Stegostoma tigrinum: one gene and its partners. The protein of the gene in region 1 interacts with the protein of each later gene in a pairwise test. Links are inferred from orthologs where the notes say so. Each region holds a gene or a part of one and is shown on either strand. Other genes may lie near its edges.

The links.
Region 2: the proteins of plekhf2 (region 1) and ube2z interact in binary tests that used the Homo sapiens proteins (3 or more experiments, as listed by UniProt). The two-hybrid records come from large-scale screens. The link is inferred for Stegostoma tigrinum from reciprocal best matches to the Homo sapiens genes PLEKHF2 and UBE2Z.
Region 3: the proteins of plekhf2 (region 1) and hspb7 interact in binary tests that used the Homo sapiens proteins (3 or more experiments, as listed by UniProt). The two-hybrid records come from large-scale screens. The link is inferred for Stegostoma tigrinum from reciprocal best matches to the Homo sapiens genes PLEKHF2 and HSPB7.
Region 4: the proteins of plekhf2 (region 1) and setbp1 interact in binary tests that used the Homo sapiens proteins (3 or more experiments, as listed by UniProt). The two-hybrid records come from large-scale screens. The link is inferred for Stegostoma tigrinum from reciprocal best matches to the Homo sapiens genes PLEKHF2 and SETBP1.

What each region holds. Positions count from the first base shown.
Region 1 is NC_081358.1:92,322,916-92,330,356, forward strand, and holds the start of plekhf2 (pleckstrin homology domain-containing family F member 2), read left to right. Parts: upstream 1-4,406; 5' UTR 4,407-4,436; coding exon 4,437-4,542; intron 4,543-7,441. UniProt on the Homo sapiens protein: May play a role in early endosome fusion upstream of RAB5, hence regulating receptor trafficking and fluid-phase transport. Enhances cellular sensitivity to TNF-induced apoptosis.
Region 2 is NC_081384.1:4,560,430-4,568,182, reverse strand, and holds the start of ube2z (ubiquitin-conjugating enzyme E2 Z), read right to left. Parts: upstream 3,160-7,753; 5' UTR 3,150-3,159; coding exon 2,980-3,149; intron 1-2,979. UniProt on the Homo sapiens protein: Catalyzes the covalent attachment of ubiquitin to other proteins. Specific substrate for UBA6, not charged with ubiquitin by UBE1. May be involved in apoptosis regulation.
Region 3 is NC_081381.1:31,712,849-31,720,777, forward strand, and holds the start of hspb7 (heat shock protein beta-7), read left to right. Parts: upstream 1-4,846; 5' UTR 4,847-5,025; coding exon 5,026-5,224; intron 5,225-7,929.
Region 4 is NC_081354.1:135,006,615-135,013,849, forward strand, and holds the start of setbp1 (SET-binding protein), read right to left. Parts: upstream 3,021-7,235; 5' UTR 2,918-3,020; intron 2,908-2,917; exon of another isoform or gene 2,376-2,907; intron 1,936-2,375; 5' UTR 1,813-1,935; coding exon 1,366-1,812; intron 1-1,365.

The DNA of each region.
Region 1 (7,441 bases):
TGGTACAACCAAAGCAGAAAAGAACAGTTCCTGATTGACAGTGTCAAAATTCTTTGTAAGGTTGAAGAAAGCCAACTAGGACTATGATATACTTGAATTAATTAGCATAGAGAGTGAGGAGGCATTAACAGTTTTACCAGGCTTGAAAATGCATAAATCATCAGGGCCAAATGAGATGTATCTCAGGCTGCTGTGGGAGGCAAGGGAATAGATTGCAGGGGCTCTGACATGAATTTTTGAATCCTCTCTGGCCATAGAAGGGATCCAGAGGACTGGGGAACAGCTAATGTGGTTCCATTATTCCATATGGACCAGGAAACTAGTTGAAGGCAAGGGGATACAGTTTTAGGGTGAAAGGCAGAAGGTTTAGAGGAGTTGAGGAGAACGTCTTTCATCCAGAAAGGATGTGAGTCTGGAATTCACTGCCAGTTGAGACGAGTCATCCACAACCTTTAAACAGTGCTTGGATCAACACTTGAAGTGTCATAACATTTAAGGTGGTGCCTCAAGTGCTGGTAAGTGAGACTAGAATATATTTAGCTTTGTGTTGGCAGTACAGATGTGATGGGCTGAAGATCCTTTTTTGTACTGTATGATTTTAACATTCTATAATTAGGTGAACACCTGAAATGTTATAGCATACAAGGCTGCAGGCCAAGTGTTTGAAAATGGGATTAGAAAATTGATGCTTTGCTCAAACACAATGGGCTGAAGGGCATCGATTATGGCATGTAACAAACCTTCCAGAATTCTGCAAACATCTTCTATCCCTCAAAGATAAAAAGACTTTTGGAGTGTTTGCTTACAAATGAGTGTACATCAGAAAATCACATTCAGCTGGATCATGTTGTACATTTAGAATGTGCAACATTTCCCATTGGCTGTTGGAACAGAGGTAATGTCTCCTTTAAATTTCAGAAAAAACTGAGGGAGAGTACACCAGATTGCATTTTGAACATTTGATCCTATATGCAATCTGATTTTCTCAACTAAAATATATTGGGAGATTCGTAGTAAAGATGAATTTAACTAAGTTATATTTTGGATTAGAATTTAAATTCAATATTCTGGAAATAATGGCAACATTTATTTGTATATCTGTTGTATGCTGCCAGCTGGCAAACTTCTCTACAGTCAGAATAGCTTCATGAAATTACACAAATCTAATTTAGGATCTAGCTTAAGAAGGGAAAGTTAAAATGTTCTGGCTAACTTTTTAAGCCACTTGTGAATAATAGTTCACAACAAAAAGTCAGTTTTTTGATACAATCTTGGCACAGTTTTTCTGGCTGATGGATCAGATTTAGATTTACTTTTATTGTCATGTGTACTCAAGCACAGAAGTACAGGAGTATAGTGAAAAGTGTACAAAGTCGCCAGTCTCCAGATCCATTTTAGTGTACAAAAAGCAGAATTAAAAACAGAAGCAGAAATAACAGAAACAGCCAAAAGAAAATGGACCATCCAGATCACTCTCCCACCTCCATCCCTGTGTCCTCATTACTGGAGAATAAAGCCACAAAGTCCACCTGTCCGTCTGTAAACACTCAGGTACCCGAGTATCCAATGCTACCATACTGTTGGAAAATATTCCATCCACTGGATTCCCACTGGATTAGTTCAGAGTGCTATTTTGGATCTTCAAGCCCAAAGGAAATGCCCAAATGAAATGTATGAAAGCTTCATTGAAATTATCATTCATTCTGGAATAGTGTGCAGACATAAATACTTTTTAATTTTTACATCAAAATGAAAACTGAAAACATTAGACAAGGCGCAGTTTTGTCAACATTAACAGCCTATTCCAATACCAATTGCTAGATGGCAGTGTGAGTTGGTTCTTTGATTTAAAAAAAACATTTTGATGACAAACAGATGAAGTTAGCATGATTCTGATTATTCACTGAGGAAACATTTCTTAGAATTTTTCAAACATTTCCAGAAATATTTACGAAGATTCGTCATGGATTTGATTCATTTTGTTAACAAAGGATCACATAGAATTGCAGTGATCACGAGGACAGAAACAGGCCATTCAGCCTAACTGGTCAATGTTTGGGCTTATGCACAATTTGAACCATACCCAGTCCTTCCTCATCTTACTCTATCAGCATTACTCCCTGATATCTTCTCCTTTACTTGTTTAGATAGTTTCCCCTAAAACATATACATAAAATTTGCTTCAGCTAGTTTCTGAGCTAGGAAGTTTCCTAATATTTTTGGTCTATCTTGAATTATAATCTTGTATTATTTGCCTTTAGTTTTTCTATTCCCCTTAAGTGAAAAGTCTCATTCTCTCACTGTTTAAAATTTTCAATCAAAGTAAAATTCTAAATTCCGTGATGGCAGAAAGCTGGAATGATACCAATACTGAGGAGGATTGCAAGAAATTACCAGGTAAACATTAATAAACTCGCAGAATGGGGAAATTATTTGCAAATGATGTTGAACAGAGATAAATGTGAGGGAGTGTACTTTTGTAGGAAAAATAGGAGCAAATTGGAAGGTGCAATTTGAATGGGGTCATGGAATGAAAGGATCCCCAGTACAGACACCCTAATCACTGAAATTGGGCCATAGGAAAATTTTATTGCAAAATCTTGTAACTCAGGGCAATTCAGGGGTCATGAAAGAAGAATTCAAAGCTTACAGTCTGTGCGTGTGTAAGAAGGGGGGAGATACAGAGGGAGAGAAATGCTGAGTACATATTAGGTCTGCTGCAGTTGTCTGTATTGCTAGGTAGGCAGCTGAACCACACAAATTCTGGGTAGGGAACTTGGCAAGGAGTTAGATGGGTCTGTGCTGTTTGAACTCAGGAGGATATTCTTCAAGTTAGTGGGCAGCTAAATATTGGAGTCATGCTTCAGAAGAAGTCCTGCGAAATTAAGAAAGTGACATGCTCATTGGTTGTGTTGTGGGAAAACATGAAGGGTTCAGAGGAAGGCTGCACGTGTCACGACTTCAGTACAACTGAGTGAATGGGAATTGTAAAGCCAATAAGCAGAATTTTCTGGATGTAACTGAGGAAGATTAGACCTCAGAGCGAGAAAAAAATCATAGAAAGCTTTAGCTTGTTGAAAATAGCTGTCAGTGAAGAACTAGAGTTATGTGTATGAATAAACATTGGGGAGCATTTTTGAAGTCCAGCTAAGCATAGAGGTAAAGGTATGCTTGACCAGAATTTTGAGGCTATTCATGATGGTACTGTACTAGAGAGGGAGTTTCAATGGAGGCAAGATCAATACATGTGAAGAATTGTAATCCTTTATGAAGTTTGATGAGTCTTAATGATCCATTATCTAATTAACATCTGGGGGATAATGTAGAGAAAATGGTTGGGGGCGGTGTTTATTTTGTGTCTGCCATACGCTGTGTGCTCTTGGGTGTTTGATCATAAACTGAGACAAATGTTTATTCTGTGTTACGCCATAATTTGAGTTTATATTACAGATTGCCTTACAAATGTTGTATCATAAAGCTTACTGTTTGCCCAAAATTGTAAAATCTTCTTTCTCTTTCTCAATATGTCCCCATAATCTTACATTTTGAAGAGTTTGGAAATAACAGGTTACTGGTCCCTAGCCAGACTGTAACATAAATTTATTGGTTTAGCCCCGGATCAAAACACAATACTCATGTTTATGTTAATAGTATCAATTTAGAACTCAATCATTGGTGTTTAATTTTTTTCTTCAATTTAGCCTATTTTGGTTTAATCAACCTGTTCAGAGATGTTATTACACACATTTGAAGCACGTAGGACTTGAACCTAGACCTCCTGGTCTGGGGTAGGGACGCTACCACTATGCAATAAAGGCCTCTTCATTGCTTGTTTACTCTTTCCTCCAGAATAAACTTCAGCTGCTCAGTAACATTCTGAACCTAGTCACCACAGAAGCAATATATTAAATTGACTTATACTGCAGCTGCAGAAATGCCTGTCTGTTCTGTTAACAATTGATCCTCTTTCACTATTGCATTTGCAATCTCCCTTCTGCCTTGCTTCCATGCTCATACGGGTGAAACATCCTTGATGTTAAGGACTTGAAAGACAGGAACTTGTCTGGGAGAAGTTTGCATCATCAACATCATTATGAAGTTGATTGGTAGGAGGGTGTTGCAGGTCAGTATCAGTGTAAAGCAGAATAGGAGAATAGATTTCTTGAAAAGACAGCAGTTGTAGGAGAGATAAAACAATGGCAGAGTGTCCTGTTTACTTGTTCTACCTGTCAGAGCTAAAGTGTGAAGGAAAATAGCTAGATGATTTTTGGGTAATTTCCTGTGTGTCTCTTTAGAGTGACTAAGTGGTTTGAATCAGGAAATGCTATTACAGCTGAGGAGTACAGTTAGGAAATTAATTACTGAAATACAGTAGATGACACGTTGCAGCTGTAGCATGTGGGATCTTGTGGATGCCAATATGATTCACTGTTGCCATGTCTGCAGCAAGTGTTAGCTGCTCAAGGAACTTCGACTCAGGGTTGATAAGCTGGAGTCTGAATTGCAGTGGGCACTGCAACACCACATCAAGAAGGGGGAGAGGTACGTGGACATGTGTTTCAGGAGACACACATCCATTAATTACGTGAAATTTAGTCCTTGATCAAGGACAGGAGGGTGTGGCTGCAAGTGAGGTAGGTATTAGGATTCAGAATTTAGCTTTGGACAGGAAAGGGGAAGAAAAGATATGCAGAAGACAACAGCAGAAATTAAGACCAGAATAAGTAATAAAGTGAAAAGACAAAGCATGAATCTGTTTTTTTTTTGAATGCTCACAGCATTTCTAACAAGTTCGATAAGTTGAAAGGACAAATTCAAATAAATGAATACAGCATGATAGATTTAATGAGATGTGGTTGCATGGTGACCAGTAGTGTGAGCTCAATATTCAAGGGAGTTGATTGTCAGGAAGAATAAGCAAAAAGGAAATGGAGGTGGGGTAGCATTGTTCATTGGTGGCAGTCAGGAAATCTCTCTTCAAATACATTAGACTTTTCAGTGGTGACGGTTTGAAACTAACGTTTATGGAAATCAATACCTACTACCCCCACTGCCCTTCTCATGTCTTCCTCTAATTTACTAAATACTCTTTTTTTCCCCCTCCATAATATCCTGCTTCAGTTCTATTTTATGTCTAGGAGCTGGTGGCTGTTTGAAATCACTAACTCCAGGATATGAGATTCTAAACATTTCCTTTTTTGATGTAAGAAGAAGGATATCAAAACTCATATCTATTGTCATAACCAATTCTTCCCTTAATGGCCTAGCCTCAGCTGGTGACAGAGGTCTCTACATGGTTGTGAATTCCTCTTTAACCGCAGCAGGGCTCCCTTCTCGCCTTCAAGTCTTGACACCCTACCTCACTTTTCAGCATGGCTCTTGTTACCACATATACTGGCTTTGCTTTGTTTCACTTCTATGAAAGAAGGAGAGATTGCTTTCAACTGCAATGTCTCAAAAAGGCTTGAAATCACCAGGGGAAAGCATTCTTGTACTTGCTTTCCCCATATGTATCAAGGCCGCTTATCACACTAGCAAAGAATGTAGATTCACTGCTTGTTGTGGGCTAATTTCTGTCTGGAGTTGTTTAATTTTAGTTAACTCTTTTATTCTCTAGTTCTCCCATCAATCCTGCATCCTCTGCTCTCAACTCAATATTTTCCAATATTTTCTCTGTTTCTCCTTATAGTATCCCTCATTACATGTTTCTATCTGCTGTCTTAATTCTAAGATGTCACTTTCCCTTTTTAACTTTGTAACTCGTTCCCTAGATTCCTTGCATTTCTTACTCAACTGCAAGGCGCACACGTGGGTGCTGAAGGCCAGTTTATTACAGAATTTCTTTATCTTAACTTCATCCTTCAAAACCTCCTGACAGACTCTGTCAAAAATAGATTTGTAATTCCCATCACAGTCATCTTTTGCTTCAGGTGTCCTACTTTCTCAATCAAGCTTTCTATTAACTGTCTAGAAAAGGCCAAAGCCATTGCACCTTTCTGGTTTCACTTCAGGGTTATTCCACAAATGTTTAGCTACAATCTAAGACTGATGCTTCCCAAATTTAAAGCCAATTAAATTTTGACTTCTGTTCAGACATCTGATATCAGATATACCACTTCTGACAGCCTGCTGATTTTGGATGTCATGATCACATTACCTGATATAGGCAGTGGACAATTTGAAACACTTTTTAAATAGTTTCCTGAAGTTGTTAAGAAGCAGCAGTTGATTATAATACATTATAGCTGTTCCTGTTCTTCCTCCCACCTCAAGCTGCACCTCCATTTCCTACCTACTAACCTCATCCCACCTCCTTGACCTGTCCGTCTTCCCTGGACTGGCATATCACCTCCCCACCTATACACTCCTCTCTCCATCTTCGATCCGCCTCCCCCTCTCTCCCTATTTATTTCAGAACCCTTTCCCCATTCCCCTCTCTGATGAAGGCCCAAAACGTCAGCTTTTGTGCTCCTAAGATGCTGCTTGGCCTGCTGTGTTCATCCAGCTTCACATTTTATTATCTTGGGAACTGCAGATGCTGGAGAATCCATTATCTCTGAATATAATACTTTGGTTAGTTATACAAAAAATATTCAAGAGTGACCGATGAGACTATTCCACTAATCCCAAAACTAGGAGCGCTGGACTGTTCATCATTCATATCATGTAGTCTGAGTTGGACCTGTCTTCGTTCATCTCTTGGACTGATGTAGGGCAGCTCTTGGTCCCATCAAGGTAGTGCATCCACTTTTTCTCTTTCTTCCCACCTGTCCCTGTTGATGTATCTTAATTTGGTGCTACTCATCTCTGCTGTGTCAAGCAACTGTCTAAACCTTCTCAGGCAATGATTATGGGAAGATACACGATGCCAGGATGACCGTTGTCTCCCCTGCCCATCTCCTTTATGAAGATTAGTTTTTGTTCCTTCTCAGAACAAAAGTTTCTGATTTTCTAAAATGCTGTATTCATAATTGAGTAGTGTGGTGCCTGGTAAATCTCTTGTGTATCTTTGTCAAAAGCTAGTTTATACTGCAACACAGTTAAGTGAGGTGACAGGAAACACTAAACATGGAATACTAATACAAACTCAATTCTAAAGGTGACCCCAATGTCCAACGCTTAGGTATTAGAGCTTAATAATAGGAAACCTCTGTTAGGAAAAGAGTTAACATTTCGAGTCCAGTGATTCTTGTGCTCTGACGAAAGGTCCCTTCTCGAAACGTTATAGCTGTTTTCTCTTCGTAGCTGCTGCCAGACCTGTTGTGTTTCGATTTTTGTTTGGATTTTTGTTTCAGATTTCCAGCCTCCACAGTTCTTTGCTTTTTGCAAAATAAAGTCTAGTATGGTTCTCATTTTCAAAACAAAAAATAAATTTTATTTCATGCTCTGATGAACAGTCATTTAGACTTGCTCTCTCTCCAAGGATGCTACCTGACCCGCT
Region 2 (7,753 bases), on another chromosome or scaffold:
CCCCGTCCCCTCTCTCTCCTCCCCGTCCCCTCTCTCTCCTCCCCGCTCTCTCTTCCTCGTCCCCTCTCTCTCCTCCCCGCTCTCTCTTCCTCGTCACCTCTCTCTCCTCCCTGCGCTCTCTTCCTCGTCCCCTCTCTCTCCTCCCCGCTCTCTCGTCCTCGTCCCCTCTCTCTCCTCCCCGCTCTCTCTCTTCCTCGTCCCCTCTCTCTCCTCCCAGCTCTCTCTTCCTCGTCCCCTCTCTCTCCTCCCCGCTCTCTCTTCCTCGTCCCCTCTCTCTCCTCCCCGCTCTCTCTTCCTCGTCCCCTCACTCTCCTCCCCGCTCTCTCTTCCTCGTCCCCTCTCTCTCCTCCCCGCTCTCTCTTCCTCGTCCCCTCTCTCTCCTCCCCGCTCTCTCTTCCTCGTCCCCTCTCTCTCCTCCCCGCTCTCTCTTCCTCGTCCCCTCTCTCTCCTCCCCGCTCTCTCTTCCTCGTCCCCTCTCTCTCCTCCCCGCTCTCTCTTCCTCGTCCCCTCTCTCTCCTCCCCGCTCTCTCTTCCTCGTCCCCTCTCTCCTCCCCGCTCTCTCTTCCTCGTCCCCTCTCTCTCCTCCCCGCTCTCTCTTCCTCGTCCCCTCTCTCTCCTCCCCGTCCCCTCTCTCTCCTCCCCGCTCTCTCTTCCTCGTCCCCTCTCTCTCCTCCCCGCTCTCTCTTCCTCGTCCCCTCTCTCTCCTCCCCGCTCTCTCTTCCTCGTCCCCTCTCTCTCCTCCCCGCTCTCTCTTCCTCGTCCCCTCTCTCTCCTCCCCGCTCTCTCTTCCTCGTCCCCTCTCTTCCTCATCCCCTCTCTCTCCTCCCCGCTCTCTCCTCCCCGTCCCCTCTCTCTCCTCCCCTTCCCCTCTCTCTCCTCCCCGCTCTCTCTCGTCCCCGTCCACTCCCTCTCCTCCCCGCTCTCTCTTCCTTGTCCCCGCTCTCTCTTCCTCGTCCCCTCTCTCTTCCTCGTCCCCTCTCTCTTCCTCGTCCCCTCTCTCACCTCCCCGTCCCCTCTCTCTCCTCCCCGTCCCCTCTCTCTCCTCCCCGTCCCCTCTCTCTCCTCCCCGTCCCCTCTCTCTCCTCCCCGCTCTCTCTTCCTCGTCCCCTCTCTCTCCTCCCCGTCCCCTCTCTCTCCTCCCCGTCCCCTCTCTCTCCTCCCCGCTCTCTCTTCCTCGTCCCCTCTCTCTCCTCCCCGTCCCCTCTCTCTCCTCCCCGCTCGCTCTTCCTCGTCCCCTCTCTCTCCTCCCCGTCCCCTCTCTCTCCTCCCCGCTCTCTCTTCCTCGTCCCCTCTCTCTCCTCCCCGTCCCCTCTCTCTCCTCCCCGTCCCCTCTCTCTCCTCCCCGTCCCCTCTCTCTCCTCCCCGTCCCCTCTCTCTCCTCCCCGTCCCCTCTCTCTCCTCCCCGTCCCCTCTCTCTCCTCCCTGTCCCCTCTCTCTCCTCCCCGTCCCCTCTCTCTCCTCCCCGCTCTCTCTTCCTCGTCCCCTCTCTCTCCTCCCCGTCCCCTCTCTCTCCTCCCCGCTCTCTCTTCCTCGTCCCCTCTCTCTCCTCCCCGTCCCCTCTCTCTCCTCCCCGCTCTCTCTTCCTCGTCCCCTCTCTCTCCTCCCCGTCCCCTCTCTCTCCTCCCCGTCCCCTCTCTCTCCTCCCCGTCCCCTCTCTCTCCTCCCCGCTCGCTCTTCCTCGTCCCCTCTCTCTCCTCCCCGTCCCCTCTCTCTCCTCCCCGCTCTCTCTTCCTCGTCCCCTCTCTCTCCTCCCCGTCCCCCCTCTCTCCTCCCCGCTCTCTCTTCCTCGTCCCCTCTCTCTCCTCCCCGTCCCCTCTCTCTCCTCCCCGCTCTCTCTTCCTCGTCCCCTCTCTCTCCTCCCCGTCCCCCCTCTCTCCTCCCCGCTCTCTCTTCCTCGTCCCCTCTCTCTCCTCCCCGTCCCCCCTCTCTCCTCCCCGCTCTCTCTTCCTCGTCCCCTCTCTCTCCTCCCCGTCCCCTCTCTCTCCTCCCCGTCCCCTCTCTCTCCTCCCCGCTCTCTCTTCCTCGTCCCCTCTCTCTCCTCCCCGTCCCCTCTCTCTCCTCCCCGCTCTCTCTTCCTCGTCCCCTCTCTCTCCTCCCCGTCCCCTCTCTCTCCTCCCCTCTCTCTCCTCCCCGTCCCCTCTCTCTCCTCCCCGTCCCCTCTCTCTCCTCCCCGTCCCCTCTCTCTCCTCCCCGTCCCCTCTCTCTCCTCCCCGTCCCCTCTCTCTCCTCCCCGCTCTCTCTTCCTCGTCCCCTCTCTCTCCTCCCCGTCCCCTCTCTCTCCTCCCCGCTCTCTCTTCCTCGTCCCCTCTCTCTCCTCCCCGTCCCCTCTCTCTCCTCCCCGCTCTCTCTTCCTCGTCCCCTCTCTCTCCTCCCCGCTCTCTCTTCCTCGTCCCCTCTCTCTCCTCCCCGCTCTCTCTTCCTCGTCCCCTCTCTCTCCTCCCCGTCCCCTCTCTCTCCTCCCCGTCCCCTCTCTCTCCTCCCCGTCCCCTCTCTCTCCTCCCCGTCCCCTCTCTCTCCTCCCCGCTCTCTCTTCCTCGTCCCCTCTCTCTCCTCCCCGTCCCCTCTCTCTCCCTCGTCCCCTCTCTCTCCTCCCCGTCCCCTCTCTCTCCTCCCCGCTCTCTCTTCCTCGTCCCCTCTCTCTCCTCCCCGCTCTCTCTTCCTCGTCCCCTCTCTCTCCTCCCCGCTCTCTCTTTATCGTCCCCTCTCTCTCCTCCCCGCTCTCTCTTCCTCGTCCCCTCTCTCGTCCTCTCCGCTCTCTCTTCCTCGTCCACTCTCTCTCTCTTTCTCACCCCTCTCCCTGCTCTCTCCTCCCCGCTCTCTCTCTCTCAGCTCTCGCGCCCCTCTCTCTCTCTCCCCACATCCCTCTCTCCCTCTCCCCCTCCCTGCTTTCTCCCCCCTCCCCACTGTCTCTCTTTCTCTCCCTCCCTCATCCTACTCCCCCTCTCCCCTCCTTCCTCCCTCCTCAGGGTGGTTTTTAACCTTTTGATGCGGAGTAGACAGGGCTGTGAGGGCTTCTCGCTATCCCAGTCGGTGCTGAGGGTCGGGTCCCAGGATGTTGCCTGAAGTTGGCTCAGGAGGCCGGTTGCCACCGAGCCGGTGCCTGGTAACAGAATCGGGCTCACGCTCTCCTCCAACGGAGCTTCCGCCATGTTCCCCCGACTCCGGCCCTCACTACGCAGGCGCGGAAACCCCCTCCACCACCGCCGCCCGCTGGTAACTCCGGGTATCACACACCGCCAATAGTGCCACTCGCTGGTGACTCCGGGAATCATACTCCACCAATAGCGCCACCTATTGGTTGCACCCCGCCACAGAGAAGGCGCCCCTATGGAAGGAAGCTAAGAAGCGTCACCAGCCGGTGATCCTATGGTACTGTAATGAAAATGGGCAGGTTCCAGAATCTGAGATAACAAAGTGTGGAGCTGCATGAACACAGCAGGCCAAGCAGCATCTGAGGGGCACAAAAGCTGACGTTTCGGGCCTAGACCCTTCATGAGAGAGGGGGATGGGGTGAGGAAACTGGAATAAATAGGGAGAGAGGGGGAGGCGGACCGAAGATGGAGAGTAAAGAAGATAGGTGGAGAGGGTGTAGGTGGGGAGCTAGGGAGGGGATAGGTCAGTCCAGGGAAGACGGACAGGTCAAGGAGGTGGGATGAGGTTAGTAGGTAGCTGGGGGTGCGGCTTGGGGTGGGAGGAAGGGATGGGTGAGAGGAAGAACAGGTTAGGGAGGCAGAGACAGGTTGGACTGGTTTTGGGATGCAGTGGGTCGGGGGGAAGAGCTGGGCTGGTTGTGTGGTGCAGTGCGGGGAGGGGACGAACTGGGCTGGTTTTGGGATGCGGTGGGGGAAGGGGAGATTTTGAAGCTGGTGAAGTCCACATTGATACCATTGGGCTGCAGGGTTCCCAAGCGGAATATGAGTTGCTGTTCCTGCAACCTTTGGGTGGCATCATTGTGGCACTGCAGGAGGCCCATGATGGACATGTCATCTAAAGAATGGGAGGGGGAGTGAAAATGATTTGCGACTGGGAGGTGCAGTTGTTTATTGCGAACCGAGCAGAGGTGTTCTGCAAACCGCTTTGACCATCGACACCCTCATCCGCCTAGCCGAACTCGTCCTCACCCTCAACAACTTCTCTTTTGACTCCTCCCACTTCCTACAGACTAAGGGGGTGGCCATGGGCACCCGCATGGGCCCCAGCTATGCCTGCCTCTTTGTAGGTTACGTGGAACAGTCCCTCTTCCGCACCTACACAGGCCCCTTACCCCACCTCTTCCTCCGGTACATTGATGACTGTATCGGCACCTCACATTTCATTATCTTTCATTCAATTCTGCTTTGGCGCAATATTTCATCCTATTCTCAAGCCCTTCACCTATAACAAGGTCACTCATTGCACCAGCTTTTCCAAGAAACAGAAATTAAATCAATAACGAATCAGTTTCTCTAGCATTGGCGGTATTTTGCTGTTATAAATTAACCAGTTTGGTTTCAGGAAACAAGTGGCATGTATTAGGGGCTGTGTGAAATCAAACATCAATTCGTAGCTGTAATATGCAATTATGTGCATTCGTAGCCCAATCTCAAAGGCAGGAATCATATGTGTCGTAGGTTTCTGGGTCAAGTTGAGCTTCAGGGACTCGAGCACATGATCTCAGTGGACGTTAGAGTGTTGATTGAGGGAGAACTGTCTTGGTCGAAAATGAGATGATAAATTGAGGAATTATCAGCCATTGCATGGGCTAAAGATCAAGGACTGAAGGTTAAGGTTAACGTTTCAAATCCGATATGAGTCTTCGGAGTCAAATAGTGTAGGTTAGATGGGCTTCAGATTGGTATGACAGATAGGCACAACATCGAGGGCCAAAGGGCCTGTACTGTACTGTAATGTTCTATGTTCTATGAAATATTAATTTTGTTTTTCCCTCCAGAGACACTGGCAGACCTGCTGAGTTTCTCCAGTACTTTCAACGTTTCAGACTTCCACCATCCACAGTATTTCTGTCTTTTTTTTAATGATTCCCATGGAATATTTCAAAGATGAGTGGAGTGTTCTCCCAATAAAACAGCTAATTAGATTTTTAAAAAAGAATGGTTTTGGACTGAGGGCATTGCTGGCTCAGCCAGTGTTCATTCAGTGTCCTGAATGAGGTAATGGTGAGCTGTCTTGTTCAAACTATTGCAGTCTTCAGAGGCACAGGACCGTGCACAGCGCTTTATGGAAAAGCGTTCTAAGATTTTGTTCCAGTGATGGTACAGGAATGGAGACAAATCCAATCAGGATAGAGGAACTTGCAGGTCGTGGTGCTCCCATGTATCTGCCGCCTCTGTCTATTAAGGTACTAGCGGTAGTGGGTTTGTGATCACCAGTAAACATTTCCACTGAAAATCATTGATGAAGCTGTTAAAGATGGTTAGGTCTTGGAGACTTCCCTCCTACTCCATTGGCAATAGTTTTCCAAGAGCAGTTTCATGCTACACTTGGTCAACTGCAGCTTTGATGTTAGGGTCAGTCAGTCTCACACCCACCTCCAGAGTTCAGCTCTTGTTCACATTTGAAGTAAGGCTATAATTAAGTCAGAAGCTGACTGTCCCTGATGGAACCCAAACTGTTAGTTTTTTTTTGTTCACCACCATTCACATCTGGATGTGATGTCTCCAATGTGATTGTTTGGTTGTCAGATCACTTAGCCTGGTCTATTGCATGCTGCAGCCACTGTTTGGCCCATTAAATGTCGCTTTACTAGATTGATATTTCATTTCAAGATATACTGCTTTGGAATGTCCTCCAGCACTTTTTATTGAATTGTGGTTGATTACCCAGCTTGTTGGTAGTGGTGGAGTTTGCAGGGGATGGGCAATAGGCCAGACCATGAGGTCATTTTGTGGTTGGCTGCAATTTTCGTCCACAGTGCTTTATGGATGTCCATTTTTGATTTGCTGGATCTGTTCAAAACCTGCCTCATTTGGCACAATGGTTGTGCCACTCATTTAACACACTGCTTTTTTGCAGAGTCTGTTGTATCTGCAATGATTATGTATGCATATGACTGGCACGTTTCCTGTATTACAGCAATGACTACACTTCAAAAGTACTTCATTGACTATAAAGAGCTTTGTGATTCACTTAGATGTGAAAGATGCCATCTTTGCATCTTCATACCTCTCATTATTGCAGCATCAACTGTGAAACAATTGAGAGTTTTACATTTATGTAGGAGTCAGGATTAACTTTGGTACCTTTGAAAAATCAATGAGATTGTTGGAACTGCTGGCCTTTATATGTGTGACAGCAAATACCTCACTCCAATTCTCAGTGTTTATGACAGGAAATAAACATATTCAAACCTTCATTTATTTGAAAACCAACTTTTATCATGTCCTCAGGCCAAATCGAAGTGAATTTTATAATTGAACACATCAAATAGGTAATAAAGTACAAATCATGATAGTCCACTAATGCCTGATAAACTGATCATTAGATGAAGGCCTTTAGTTTATCACAGTTCAAAACTATAAAATTCAAGGAGCCAACAAAAACAGATCTCTGCATCTTCACTTCTCAAAACTGCACAAACTTACACACAAGGTAAAACAAACTCCTCACTCCTCTTCCAGTTTCCCTCCAATAACAGAAAGTTTGGGTTATAAAATGCAACTCATCAAAAACATCTTTTTAGTAATCAACTTGTTCAAATTATTTCACACCTCTGGAGCAAGTGAGACTTGATCCAATATCGTCACTCGGAACATAGGAACAAGAGTAGGCCATTTGGTCCCTCCAACCTGTTTCACCATTCAATGAGATCATGGCTGATCTGTGATCTAACTCTACATACCTCCCATTGGCCCACATCCCTTAGTACCTTTGCTTAACAATAATTTATCTGTCTCAGATTTAATGAGGAGGTGGGGACACTACAATTATAGCACAAGAGTCCCATCTCCATATTTTACACTTGTACAATTTTGAATTAATAAGCTATAAAACAACTTCTTGTTCCTTGATATATTTCCTTTAACTTATTAAATTAATCCAAGGTACCTCACAGCAGAGAGTGACAAAATTGGACACAGAGCCAGATGAGGCAGGTGACCAAAGCCTAGTCAAAAAGATTGGTTTAAGGGAATCTTTAAGAAAGTCTGAGATGTGGAGAGGTTAAGGGATGGAATATTGAGATCGAGAAGGCTGAAGGCATGCAAATAGTGAAGTGAAGGAGCAAGAACAGAAATTGCTGGAAAAACTCAGCAGGTCTGGCAGCATCTGTGGAGAGAAATCAGAGTTATCATTGTAGATTGAGTGACCCTTCCTCAGGACTGATTGTAGCTAGGAAATGTTGGTTTATGTGAAGAAGATAGGGTGAGGGAAGGCATTAAGGAGAAATGATAAGTGGGGATAGAGCCGAAAGAGAGAGAAGTGCATTGAATAGACAAAGGAATGGATAATAATCTGGCTAGGAGGGTGAATAGCTATTAATGGTGATTGTTAGTGGCTAGTGCAGCACTGCAGCCAGCCTGAGACAGAGATGTTGGCCAGGCTGTCTTTCCCCTTGCAACTGCGATAGGATCCTTCTTATCCTTACCTCCCATCCCACCAGCATTGACATTCAGAGGATCATTATTTGCCATTTCTGCCACCTCCAGTGAGACACCACCATCTGACACATATTGCCCTCCCCTCCCCTCTCTTGTCAGCCTTTCACGAGGACTTCCTCTGGTTCACTCCTCTTTCGCCCCACACAGCCTCACTGCAC
Region 3 (7,929 bases), on another chromosome or scaffold:
CCACCATCCTCTTTTTAGATTGAGATCTACAGGGCTGCTTTATCTAATATGGCAGAGGAGAACCACTAAGTAGTCTATTGAGGAGAGACTGCAGGCTGACGCAAGTTGTAGTAATTGCATGTAAGTAATCAGATATATGGCATATTGGTATGATAGACATTTTTCCAAAGATTCTGGAGAGGCGTAAATGTTCGGTATGTCTCTTTTGAGATCCAAAGTGGTTCTTTTACCACCTAAGGTCAGATGACATCATCATTTTTGGCAGAGCTCATTGTAGATTTCAACATTAACCCCATCAGAACACATTACACTAGTGTGTGGCAGATTTAATATTTTGTAAAACCCCACCATTCATAAGGAATGCTGTTGCACTTTGGTTAGTCTAGCTTTGCAAAGGTTACAGCTAGGTTACGAACATTGGACTAACGAATGTTCGTATTTACAAACACAATCCCATACAGGGTGTGTAAATTAAAAGACTTGACATATGAACATTTCCTCTACTTACAAATGACTGCTTAACAATGTCCAGTTTTGTGCTTGGACATACGTACATATTAACTCACAAGCAGATTCAAGAACAGAACCTATTTGCAATGCAGGAACTGCCTATACATTAACTAATTTATTAGATATTAAGGAACTGTGTACAATGTTACATGCATATTTTTATTTTCCTGAAACCATGATCATTTTCCCTCCAACTCTCCCAATCATGTCTCCTCTTACATCATCAATGTGGGGCAGTCCCGGACCTTAACCCTAACAAGATGAATACTACACCTCCTCCTCCCAGATCTTCCTCCATATTTGCTACATTTATATTTGCATGCTATTCCCACCTCCGCCCCAAGACTCAGACACAATAAACTCAATCCATCAGAAGGTCACTTCCAGATAGTGCTCATTTCAGGCCAGAAAGGTCAGTTGTACCTCGCTGAATTCTTATGTCTTGACTTGGATGGACTTCATTCAGACTTGTAGTATTTGTTATTTTGTTAATTTCTGGGTCAATGTCTAGCTCATCCATCGGTAAGACTGATTGTCATCTTTATAATAGAAATAAGATCCCTCCCATTTCTCTATATAGTGTGTATTAAGTAGAATGTCTCTCGAATGTAACATCTCTGGACAATCACTCCACCCCGACTTGGTATCTTACCTATACCTCTTCCACCAACCTGATATGGTACCTCCTGTTATAGAAAGCTGGAAGTTTCACTCTCAAACATTTCTTTTCTAGTAGATGTTGGATGCCCAAGTCAGCCTCTCATTTAATCCCATTTACCCAAACCCAAGGAACGGATACTCAAGATAGACCCACCTACTTCCTTCTGAAATCTATGAAGTCACCATATCATTTGCTAGGACATCTTGTTTAATCTTTACTCAGAAAGTTGTTTGACATAGGGGACATGAGAAAGAATGTTATCAGTATTAGGAATGGTTTGTTTCAAAGCCTGTATTAGAGATATGTTATTGGAAAAGGTTTGAGGTCTATGTTGAACTATGTTTATCAACCCAGCAGGCCATTATGGAAATTCTCCTGGTGGGAGAAAGAAAAAATTATTTCAGTTGTATTCAATAAAGTCCTTAAGCTTTCATTAAGTTAATGAACAATGATTTCTTCCATTCACTATTAACCCACGTTCACTGACCTACATTGGCTCCAGTCAAACAATAGCTTGATTTTAAATTTTCAGTCTGGGTTCCAACTTTCTCTGTAACCTCTTCGATCCCCACAACCCACCGATATATCTCAATCCTCTAATTCTGGTCTTTTGGCACTGCAATTTTAATCACTCCATCATTAGTGGCCACGCCTCCAGTTGCCAAATTCCTTAGCTCTGAAGTCATGTCCCTAACTCCTTTTGCCTCTTTGTCTCAGTGTCCTTGTTTTCCCTAAAATTTGCATCCTTCACCATGCTATTGGCCACCTGTCCTCATACAATATCTCCTTATATGGCTCAGGACCAGAGTTTTATTTTGTAATGTTCTTGTGAAAATCATTGGGACTTTTTATTATGCTGAAGGTGCTATATAAATATGAGGCATTGCTGGAGTATTAGAACCGCATATAATTGGCCATCTCAATAGATTAAAGAAGCTTTCTCCAGTGACTCACACTCCACTTGTTATAAAAATTATATTTTAGATTTATTTCATACCCTCTCCACTATCCAGAAGTCAATATAGTCCGAGCTTGAGGTCACCAGTCACGAGTTATGCTAAGGTCCTACTTTACAGCTTAATAACCAGGTGGCTCTTCCTTTTTTAAAAAAATCCTTATAATAAACTCCACAAATTTGTTTGACTTCAACTTTCAGTATTTCTTGTTTCTGTAATCATGTCAACCATTATGGTGTCAATAAAGGCAACAAGTGCGAATCTTAACACTCTATCATTAGGTAGCATTATTGTGACAAATTATTTCCAAAAGTTAGCAATCATTGTGGGTGGAAAGTCAGGGTTAGTACATCTACGTGGGCGTGGATACCATTAAAATGGCAAATGCCTCAGCAATATCATTGATTGAGGTCAAATGAAAAGAATTGAAATGAGTTGGTAAAATAAGCTACCAATTCACAGCCACTCATTTTTCATAAAAGCAACATACTATGGATGCCCGTTATCTGTGACCAAGCCTCCGGGAGTCCATGTCATGCAAAAGATGCGTGCAGTTTCTCTACCGTCGTCCCCATGTTTGACAGATGAGCGCTTTGAATTGGCATCCACAATGACGAAGAACATCAAGCCCATGAAAGGACCTGAACAGTCGATGTCCAGGGTTTACCCAGCCATTCCCACAAACGAGGGGCAGCTGCTGTAATTTCCGTCCATGTTGGCACTCTTGGCAGTGCCCCACCAACACATCTACGTCTGTTTCAAAACCTGGCCACCAGACATAACTTCTTGCCAACATCTCCGTTTTGTAAACCCCTGGATGACCCTGGTGCTGTCCCGCCAGTATCTGATGGCAACCTTTCCTTGGGATAATCGGTGTTGCTCACCGCAATAATTTGCCATCCTCTACTGTGACCTGGCCTCTCCGGGCCAAAAAACTATTTCACTTCTGGTTGTGATGGCCCTTTGGACCTGTCTTTCACAAAACCAACATATTGTGGGTGGTGAAAATCTGAACTAAAAAGAGAAAATGTTGAAGACACTCAGCAGGTCTGGCAGCATCTGTGGAGTGAGAAACAGAGTTAATGTTTCAAGTCCACTAAGACTCTGCTTCAGCCAATTTTACACAACTGCTGAAGCCACATTTAACCACCAATATCTGGATCACTGCTCTGTGTGCCCTCTAACAGTCTTGTTCACAACCTTTATCGAACAGCAATGGACCGGCCAGCCAGCAGGAAAGAACAACCTTAGTTTCAGTGCCTTTGCCTTGCACTGCGGGGACCTTCTTCACATATCTTGACTGCCTCTTCTTATTCTGGTAATATGAAGCCGACAAACTGATTCCTTATTAGATCACCTACTTCTGTTAAGAAAGAAGAGAAGCTCAGTCGGACCCTACTCTTTGCCCTCCCACTGAATCCCGATGTCTAACAGAGCTCTAGCTATATACTAGCACATTTTCAAAATCAATGTTTCCTGAAAAGTCCAATCAGATATGTTAAAAAATTGAAAATATTTTGAATGCTCTTGTGCGTTATGCTTATCATTGGCCTCTTTTTTATGTTTTCTCCCAGTTTCCCTTGAAGTTTTTTCTTCTTTCACTCCAGCAACAGCAATACAGGAGATTGTGTCATTCTCCAAGTCGCTGGGAAGATACTGTTTACTCACTATTAAAAGTTCAGATTATCTTAAAATGTCAAAGATTGCACGCACACTTCCATACTCGTTAACTTAATCTTCTCCATTTAACCAGATCTGTTGGGAAGAGGTAAGTTTAAAGTGGAGTTTTGTTGTCCAATACCCATCCATTTTTCCTACTTCTCTTTGAAGAAAAGCCGTGTTTCCTTAGCGATGAACTCTACCTGTACCCCTGCTTTCTAAGCCCAAGTCAGTGTGATCAGAATACTCAGGGTCAATAGTCACATGGCACCAGGTTATAGTTCAACAGGTCCATTTGAGATCACAAGTGCTGCTCCTTCATCAGGCAAGTGACTTCATCTGACGAAGGGGCAGTACTCCAAAAGCTTGTGACTTCAAATAAACCTGATGGACTATAACCTGGTGTCGTGTGACTTTTGACCATGTCCCCCCACCCCCCCCGCCCCCCAGTCCAACACCAGCACCGCCACATCAAGAATATTCAGATCCAGCTTCACAAAGGCCAGGATTCATAACCCCAATTTTAACTCATTTTTAGCACATTGTCATACATTAAGGTCTAAGTTCAAATCCAACTTCTGAGGGATACCACATCAATTTTCTTGTGTTGGATTGCTTTAAGCACAAGCCAACTGGAAATGATAAGGTTTCTGATCATTTGTAAAACAACCAGAACAAAACAATCGCATGTTTTACATTCTGCTGTATTTTGTAGGGGCTATTTAAATGAATTGAAATGTTCCTTCATTAACTCAATGCACAATCATTTATGTCCAAAATGTCATTTCAATCATTCTAATTGTTCCCAAAGCAGTGCTTCAAGTCTAAATAAAGCTTTTTTTTTCCAGTTTCAGGACAGCAGAGCAGCAGCTTTAACAAGAATTACAGTGCTGGAGTCAAATTGCTTTTTTAAGTTCTCCATCGAACTGAGCTGGAATGTTTGCTATGAGAACACATTCCTGATCACTCCATTTGTTTGGAGGACTCTGACGACCTTTCATCTGTTAGAATTTTCACAACTGCATGCCTGATGTGGCCAGAGCTAAAATTAACATCAAAATTTGACTTTGGCAGTCAGACACATTGGCAGGAGTCTGTATAAAAGCAGAACAGAATACAATCGGAGCACAAAAGACGATTTGGTCTTTGGAAGCTTATCCAATATTTCCTGGCCATCCAGGGGTGCTAGAAAGGAGCTGGTGAAGTAGAATTTTGAGATTTAAACTGTATCTGCCTTCCATGAGTGTAAAATCCTCTACTGCCTTCAGATCTGAGCGTTGCTTTCATCAGAACACCACTTCCTCCTCTTCTTCTTCGGGTCCAGCTTTGGATCAGTACATGGATAAATCAAGAGGTCTCTTTGGGGACGAGTTTGAGAAGTCCTCAATCCTCCATGGAAACTTTTTGAGGCCCCGGACTGAGCAACTTGGATATTCAGGTAAGTGCAATCCGCCCAGAGCAATGAATTCTGTAGTCACATTTATTAACACTAGAAATTGAATGGGTCCCCTTTTTTAATTATTTAAGGAGATGGCACTGCTTAAAATTTGAAGTTGTGTCTTGCATCTGAAAAGAATTCACATGGAAATTCGAAATAATTCTGCAAAAACGGAAAGTAATGATCAATAAATCTCAGAAAAGTGGAGTCATCATGACCCACTGTGCGATAATATTCCCCAGGCAGCTACAATTGAACATAAATTAAATACGTTGAAGTGAAGGTAGAAATGTAAATGAAGAAGATAAAGTTAATTGAAAGTACATTGCAAAATTTAAATTAATCTAAACTTTGAAATGAATGGCCATACATTAGCTTAATTCGGAAGTGTGCATTTAATTGAATGTGTGGTTATTATATTAAATTAATTGTCTAGATCCATATAGGGAACAAACTCAGACACATAAAAGTGAGAACAGAATAAGAATAAATTCTACCTTTTGTATACTAATCATGGGACAGGAAGCTTACTAGGGTGCAAAGCTAATTGACATTTACAAAACTAACAAGTCCCGTACTAGAGCAGCAGATTGAGAAAGCACAGAGAAAAACCTCGCTGTAAAAATCTTTCAACTGCCTTGGGTTAATTTAGCACACTGACTGTGGGAGTGAATTTCAATTCTGCATTACTGTCTCAACCTTGGGATGACATTCCAGATTTTAAGACATTGGCCATGGCTAAAATGCTTGTCTTGAAACTCTTTTTGTGGGATTGAGGATGCCAGTGAATACTCTAAATAATTACTTAATTTGTTTTTCTACATTTCTTGTTTGGAGGTTTACTCGAGAGCAATTAAACTCAAACGTTATCTGATATAATACAATCAGATGTGTATCCTTCTAATGGTCAAGTGTAAAAATTACATATTGATCCACAAACATCTCCCTTAACCTGTGCTTATCGAAACAATGCTAATGCATTAAACTTATTCGCATCACATAATAGTAAAAACATTTGAAAATCTCAAGTATATTTCAAAAGTCGTGATATTTGATCGATATGATCCATCTGTGTCGCTGATGTTTAAAGCTAGTGCTCAGGTTATCAAGGTTACAGATGACAACATGTATAAAGAATGATCCAGTAAAGATCAAGTAACCTCATACAAAATCCCAAGAGTTCAGAAGTTGATGAGTGTACTTTATGCACAGACATCCACACAGAGAAAGCTATTAGCATGAAGTAAATATAACTGGAAAAGAAAATAAAACAAAACATATTGAGAAAAAGGAGCACCCCTCTGGGCTCAGTGAGTGAGTTCACAGTGTACTGTGTGTAATCACAGAGTGGCTAAGTACCATTTGGTTCAACCTCGGGTGTGTTCTTCTTCTTCTGTTGTCTGCATGAAGAGAGGTCTGACCCACACGGCACCATGACCTCCACCACATGTAAGCCCCAAATCTACCCCAGCCAGAACAGAGATCGAACACCATGCTGTGAACTCCAATCTGACCCACACTGGTCTTCCAGCTAATGGGGATAACTGTTGTCATGACCATTGATCATAGCCCTGGATCAAGAAGGGACCTGTCAAGCTTTAATTCCAACTTGCTTTTTTTAAAAAATGAAAATGATACAGATAAAATGACGGTGGATATAAATTCAGTGGCTGCCTGAAAAGAGACCACGGAATGTCACTCCTATCAAGGTGTCAAGAAAGCTTCAAAAGTATGAATTTAAAAGGGAGAAATGCTCTACAAACTGAACTGTTACCTTCTGAGAGTTATTTCAGGCTGTGAACGTAGTGGGAGAAAGGACAGCAGTCTGGGTGAGAAATATGGTTTGGGTTTTCCCTTTCAAGAATACTCAGGGTTAGGTGCTTCAGCTCTGGGCTGTGTGCATTAGTGGCCTGACATTCTAGTGTCTGGATAAATGTGCTGTGAAAGTCACAGTTTTGAGTATAGCCACTAAACACCTCTGAACTGAAAGTAAAGAAAGGGAGAATAATCTCTCTTAATCTGAATGCTTCCAGTCAGCTACTGTTGAAAGGAACCAGGACAAATGAATCTCAATCAAGCTACAATGTCAAGAATTTCAAATTGACTGCCAAACGGTAACTGCTGGTATTGGTGCCAGTGGCTATTTGAATGCGATTGGTAACATCCATTGTAAAGGTCGAAATATCTTATTATCCACTTTCCACGAATGACACAGAAGCTAAGTTGTATATCTTTTTAAAAATATTATTGTCTGGACTCACTTCTTATTCCTAAACCATGTGCATGCATTGTTATTTCTTCCTGCATTTAATAACAAATAAATTCATTCTTTTGTTAACTTAAGAAAACTTGTTTAAGGTGTCTCTTTTCAAACTGCAAATTATTTTGGGAGAAAGGCATTCACAAGCAAGGAGGCCTTTTAAAATTAAATTTGTCGTGACCAAATGAGGAGTCGGGTGAATAAAGAAGGGGAGACCATTCATCTCTCCTCACCTGGGATCTTGACAATTTGGGATAGCCCATCTGGAACCGTAATAATTTAGGGAAACTGGATCTGGTCATAACACCACCCCATCACCCCCCACAACCTGCACCCCCACCAGTCAAGAATTCCAGGTTGCTACGGCAATGTACTTTTCCATACATTGAGCTATGGGTACTGATGGTAAAGGTTCAGATTTTATTAGGATCAAATGGCTGGCTAG
Region 4 (7,235 bases), on another chromosome or scaffold:
ATTTCCCCAGCGTCCTCTTGAATTTTAAAATCTAGCTCTGTACATCACAGAAGACAATAATGATTAATCAGAGATCTCCTTAATCGCATAGAGAAAAGCTACCCACACACAAATAAAAGCCTCACAAAACTTACAATGATTGACATGCCAAATTATCAAGATTTTTAGTGCCTACGGACTGTGAAAATCAAATTAAACAGTGATACTGTATGGCCCTAATTCATAGAAAAACTCAAGAATGACTCCAGTTTGGTTCACTCCAGGTATTACTAAGATAATCAGCAGAGCCTGCCTGTTTACACTATAGGCACAGCAGGGCATCCTTGATCACAGATAATGGAGCAGCGATGGGTAGATGCTTGGACAGTGACGTCAGACATAACTAATGTCACCTTGTTAGTGTCTTATGTTGCTGGGCAATACCAATATATTCAAAGTTATTGAGACAATTTAAACAAAAACCAGTTATACCTCATAAAAATGCAGCTCTGTCAGGGTGTGCAACACTAAGTTATTACACTAAGAACTCAGCTCCAAAAGTAAAATTTGCATTAATCAAACTTGTAAGTATGGGCTCGGTGCCAGAATTAACCTCACAAAAGGCTGTAAACTGTTGCCTGGGGAGGCAAAGTTCCAATTGTGAAGGATGCCAAACTCTAACTGTGAACATAACATTTTCAGGACTGAGCAGAGGACAAAACCAAATTATGAGAAAGGGTGAAAACAGCAAACTGAAAGTATCAGCTGAAAATTTAGTAGAAAGTCTAATGCCCTTGTGAAATGAACATGATCACTTTGGTGTGGAAGAAGTGTCAAAACCCAATCTTCTCCCATACCCATGGTCTTTTCCAACAAGATCAGCATTTATTCCACCACAAAGTAACATGAAAGAATTCCTCCAACCTCAGAATCATTATTTACTGCACCGGAGTTGAAAGACACACCAAATTAACAACTGATTCCATTGAATATTAGGAAGTAATATCTGCAGAACAGTCAGTTTCACGGAGTTTTTAACAATGGTTTAGGAATATAATTCCAAATTTTTGGATAACAGTCTGTCAAAATGACTAGCTTCACAGAATCAGTAAATATTCAAACCCGTCCGAGAGGTTATTACAGGTACTTAATGAAGATGCATGTGCATTGAACAGACGGTTACAGCAAACAAGTATTTCATCCTAAATGGCTACATGCTAATATGGGAGCGTCTCTAGCCACCTGACTCCCATTGCTTCTCTCCCCTTCTGCAGTCATAACAAGGGGTATCGACCATCTTGTAAAAACATGTTTATCGCCTATCAAAATACAAGTCAGGGTGCAGTGTAAACACAAAAGGAAGTTGGACAGTTGTGAGCCTCTTACCTTTTTCTTTTCATCTTCTTTTGACACCTTGTTACTTTTGCTCGACCTGCAGTTTTTCTGATCCCCTGTCTGTTTGATGGTGATCTTGATCTCCGGAGGGCAGATGTAGTTCTCCAGGTTCTTGGGAGGTTTCTTCGGCCGTTTGGTGGTCTGGATCTTGAGTTTCAGGCTGCCGTCTGTGAAGTTCGCCTCCTTGATGGAAAACTCGTGTTCCTCCAGGCCGTCTCCCTGCATTGATTTATCACTGTCTGTGTTGGAGTTGGAGTCCTGGCTACCACTGGCGCTCTCCTCGTCGTCCTGATCCAGCCTCCCCCCGTTCATCTGGCTCCCAGGCGACTGCATCAAGGCTCCAGGAGAGACTGCGGACTTGGCAGTGCAGGCAGCCGACCTGAAATCCCCATCAGCCGGCTTCTGCCTGCAGCCCATCGCCGTATCCCTCTGCTCCATCTCACTCAGCGTCTGTGAGAGGCACAGGGAGCTGTGGGGAGAGCAGCACTCAGCACTTCTCAGTGTCCTCCGTTACTCCAGAGTAATCCGATCCCCCAAACAAAACAAAATAAAAACTGCAATCTGGAAACAAAAATAGATACAAAGTAGAACTGTAAACATCAACTGGGTGGAAACCCCAATCGAACTGACTTGCAATTCCAACTCCTTTGAATTCGCGGTCAGAGAAAATAAATCAGATTCCTGTGGCAGTAATATTAAGTTGTTCCAAATTTTTTTTAAAAAAAGCAACCACCCCCCCCTCTAATCCAGCGAAAGGTTCCACTACCAGTTAAAATAATGGGCGCATGTTCCAATTCGCCTTTTATTAATTAAACTATAACAGCGCTCGACATTTTCTTTCCCAAGACAGCCACGACAGCAAAAAAAAGTTAAACGTTCGTCACATTGCCCTCCGAGAGAGACAAAAACAAAATTCCTCGGATAAAGGCTTCTCGTGTTCCTGCAAACCAGTCCAGCAGCCACGTTACGGGCTCCTGTCAAATGAAGCCACTTTCCTTTACCTCGAACGCACCATTTACTTCATTTTATCGTTCAGTCCGCTCTCAGTGATCCAGAAGCCTTTTTCACATGTCGACAATGTCAGGTCTGTCATGTTGCAATGGCTTTTTTTTTGTATATGTGTGTGTGTGTGTGTGTGTGTGTGTATTTAGAGAGAGAGAGATGTACAAGGTTACAAGTCGATCTGTTGCAGCGTCCACACGCTCCTGCTCCCTCGGTAAAAGCGCCTCAGATACAATGAGAGTTGGGCTGGAAAGCTGCAGCTGCTGGAATCCGATGCTAGAGGCTCTCTAGCTCCACTCCAATTCGACCAAAAAAAAGACGGACTTTTTTTTAAACAACCGAATTGCACCATCAACTCCTTCTCACTAAACACGTACACGACTTTTTTTTCTTTTTTTGGTTCCGTGGCAATGATTGAAATCGGCCACAAAAGAAACAACACCCTCTCCTCTCCACCCCCCCCCCCAAAACACACACATCCCAGACGTTTGTGGGGGGGGGAGGACTTAGGAAAAAAAGATATCGCCAATTTGCTACTTACTAACCCATATCCAGCGCCGAGAACCTGTGGTCTCAACTAGTCCCAAAGCTGCGGAGCTTCTGGAAACGGCATGATCGGATCGGATCGGATTCGATCTGTCAAACTCGAGCACAGCCTCCTCCCCTCAACACCACCACACCACCCCCCCCCCCCCCCCACATCCCGCACCTTCTAGGCTCCTGATCCTGAACAGAGAGCAAAATATGGCGCTGAGGAAGTGCACTGAGGATTGGGCTCTTTGGGAGATTCGATCAGCGAACACGCCGGGCTCCCCACTCCATTCCGCGGCAGTCCACTCCAGCCCTGATCGATCTGCAGTTTCTGTGTGTGTTAGTGTTACAGTGTGTGTGTGTGTTAGTGTGTCTGTCTGTCTCTGTATGTGTGTGTGTGTGGAGGGCTTACTGGGAGCAAAGCACTTGTCGAGGCCGGGGCTTCCAGCGGCAGCTGCTGTAGCCGTGGCGGCGGAGCCGTGCAGTTTGCGGGGATGTGGGCAGGGAGTGAGTGTGTGTGTGTGAGAGAGAGACAGACAGGGCGCTGGGGAACGGGCTCACAGCTCACGGCAGTGATTGCTGCAGCCGCTTGCCTCCTGCGAGGCCTGAGCTTGGAGGAGCCTGGGCATCTCCCTGCCCGTCAGCACCGACTTGCCTCTTGCCCCCGGGGATAAGGGTAACACTCAGATCTAACTCCGCCCTCACATTTTACACTCTTTATACTTCGGTTTGTTTGGGTGGTGACTATTTGGTATCGCGCCTGCTGACTGTCTTCTGCATTTTAATAGATTCCAACTTTATTTTCGTTTATTTACTCCGCATCCACATGTTCTCTCTTATATCTTGCTTCCTCTACGTTGTAGACAGTACCCCCCGCCCCAACCTCCTCTCCATCTTCCCTCTGTGGGAAGGCCTTCTTCCCTAGTGCTGTGTTTTCTTAACCGCATCCTCCTTAAAGGTGACCCGTGTGTGGGCAGCGAGTTGACAGGTTTCCAGGAGTCTGTTTCCAGCACCTAACTGAGTGTATAATTGGAGCTGCCAGTGCTGAAATCACACATGAAGTACGTTAGGATCTAGCACTTATAAGTAGATTCCCAATCAGACTCGGTGTAAGAAAAGAACACACACTTTGTGTATGCCTCGGTGAGCTTCGAAGTACCAAATGATCAAATTTGGTGGAAAAGTCATTCATCCCTCTTTTTTCTGATTCAGCTGGGTATCTTTTGCACTTTTCCAGATTTTCCCATGACAGCCTTCTTATCCCCGAATGTCAATGCACCGCAGTGCTTCACTCTCACAAGATGGCACCATCAGCACCTCGGTGGTATTCAGGCTGAGCCCGTCCACTCCAGGTTGGGCACATCCTTTTTCCCATTTTTTCTCTATTGTTCTTTGTCTTTTCTCCATCTTCCTGACATAGCAGGAGTAGTGTTGGCAGTGACCCCTAGCTTGTAGGCCAACTGCGTGATTTTCTGGAATTGCTGTGTGGCAGCGGCTGCAGCAGTGATGGAACAGGGACTCCTCCCTGCGGTGGATCCGGAGTATGGGTTCTTTTGACAGTGGCGGATCGTTGACTGCAGCTGTGTAAAGGCCTGGAGCAGGGGCTCCTGGCTGACGTAGGCCCAGAGCAGCGACCTTGCAGAATTGTGGAGCCATATTTGGGACCCTGGCCAATGAAGATAAACTCTATTTTTTATTCTTTTGTGGTACCAGATTGTGGTAACAGAATACTTTTCACTGCATCTCCCGAGCTAAATGTAACAATAATTCATTCATTCATTCATTCAAAACATCGTTTCATTCATTCACCAGGATTGTACCAGAACTTCCTGCCCTTAAAAGATCAATGCCCATAACACCATTGTTATAATTTGTCTTTCCTCTGATAGTGATATAAAGGTTAGATATGGAGTAAGAAATTGTTTGGTTGGATGGTCAAAGATAGGAGTTAGTGTAACTCCTGATGAGACCTGCCAGGAATACTTACAGCCAGAGTTGACAACTTTAATCTGCATGGGTCACACACTATCACTCCTGTGTTATATATACTGTAGGATCTCAGATACCAATATTATGATAAATCATATGCATCAATGTCATATAATGGGGATCTATCCGTGCAAAATAATATGTCCAAAGAGTACTTGCATTTCACTTTTCATTTAGAACTTGCCATTGACCATTTTGAGTGTTTTCACTGAGTTCATTTGAAGGATATGCTTATGAATTACCACCATTGAAACTTAGGAACAAAAACAGAATTTGTTAGAAAAGCTTAGCAGGTCTGGCAGAACATGAGGAAGGGTCACTGGACCTGAAACGATACCTCTGATTTTTTTCTTCACGTGCTGCCAGATCTGCCAGCAACTTCTGTTTTTGTTCCTGATTTACAGTATCCGCAGTTCTTTTGATTTTTATTCACCGTTGAAACTTATTTCGGCGACAAAGTAAAACAAAACATTTCCATCAGCATTAATAGACTGGTTTCACTATTTTGTACTTAACTCACCGCCAAATATCACAACAAACTTGGCCTCAGTACTAAAGGAATAAATTGGAAGAACCTACACAACCTTTTGCTCAAACAGTAGAAACACAAATGGCATCCATACAACCCAGCAGCCTTACAGCCTTGACTTTAAATGGCATGACTATTACTGAACCCCCCATTATTGATATCCTGGAGACACAAGACAATAGCACAATGGAAATGTCATGTGACTGGTAATCCAGAGACCAATACTAGGCATTGGTTCAAAATCTGCCACACTAATTGGTGGAATTAAATGCGAGCGATCTTGAGGCACAGCAGTAGTGTGCCTATTGCTAGGCCTCAAGGTCTGAGTTCAAGTCCCACTTGCTCCAGAGATTTGAACTCATTGAATCCTGACAGTATGGAAAGAAGCCATTTAGCCAATTGAGTCTGCACTGACTCTCTGAAGAGCATCTCACCCAGACCCACACAATCCCTGCTTTTACCAGGACCAATCTACATAATTTCCACATTTTTGGACTGTGGGAGCATTGTGCAGTTGGGTAAAGTACTTGTGGAATGGGAGGCAGGAAGTTAGAACTTGGTGTTTGTGCAGTGATGGGGGAAAACATTGTGTGATCAATTTAAAAGATGAGATAATGGGAACTGCAGATGCTGGAGAATTCCAAGATAATAAAATGTGAGGCTGGATGAACACAGCAGGCCAAGCAGCATCTCAGGAGCACAAGAGCTGACGTTTCGGGCCTAGACCCTTCATCAGAGAGGGGGATGGGGAGAGGGAACTGGAATAAATAGGGAGAGGGGGGAGGCGGACCGAAGATGGAGAGTAAAGAAGATAGGTGGAGAGAGTATAGGTGGGGAGGTAGGGAGGGGATAGGTCAGTCCAGGGAAGACGGACAGGTATTACAAGAGAGTTGCAATGGGAGAGAGATTCCCTGAGGTTGGTCCGGAGGGAGGAGGGTAACTTCTTCAGGTTAGGCATCCCTGGAAGAGGCTTCACAGTGAGGTTAAAATAGTATCAGAGATAATGGGAACTGCAGATGCTGGAGTTTTCACAAAAGCTGATGTTTCGGGCCTAGACCCTTTTTTCAAAAGCTGACGTTTCGGGCCTAGACCCTTTTTTTAAGATGATGTGCTTTTTCTACGCTTAAAAGATTTAAATGGATGTTGCTGAGCTTCAGCTTGAATGCTTATAAGTACACAGAGAGCACCTGAATTGAAATATTTGTATCAAAAGGCCACACAGTTAGCATGCCTAGCAGCAGTTTTTACCAAGAAAACAACTTTTTGAATTTAATTAATCAACATGAACCAGGCACTTAGATACAAAAAAACAGTTAAATTTAAACCTGATGGTTTTGATAACATAGAACCAATCCCATTATCAAAAATTGTTATGTCTTCAAGAGTAGAAAAGAAGGGACAGTTCTGCATAGACAGCAGAACAAACTGCCATCAGCTGGTGTTAACAGCCCTCAACTCGCAAGAGAGAATTGCTAGCTCTCACAGACTGCTGTGTTTTAGAGAAAACACCATCTAAAGAACAAAAGTACCCACATCACAAACTAGTGAATATTCCTGCCAGAAGTCACATAACCTGGCTGTAGTTTTGAGAGACTACTTGTTGGAACAGCATACCATTAGAATCTTGTTTTATTCTGGAATGGTTAGTAGTTGGAAGGATTTTATTTGGTTGTTAATAGTTTAGTTAATTTGTTCACTGTTAGAGTTAGATAATTAAGTTGGTACTTGCTGATTTTAAGGTGCATGTCAGGGAATTATTTTATTGGACCAATAGGAGTTGCTGAAAGGCACGTTATACCATCTTGCACAT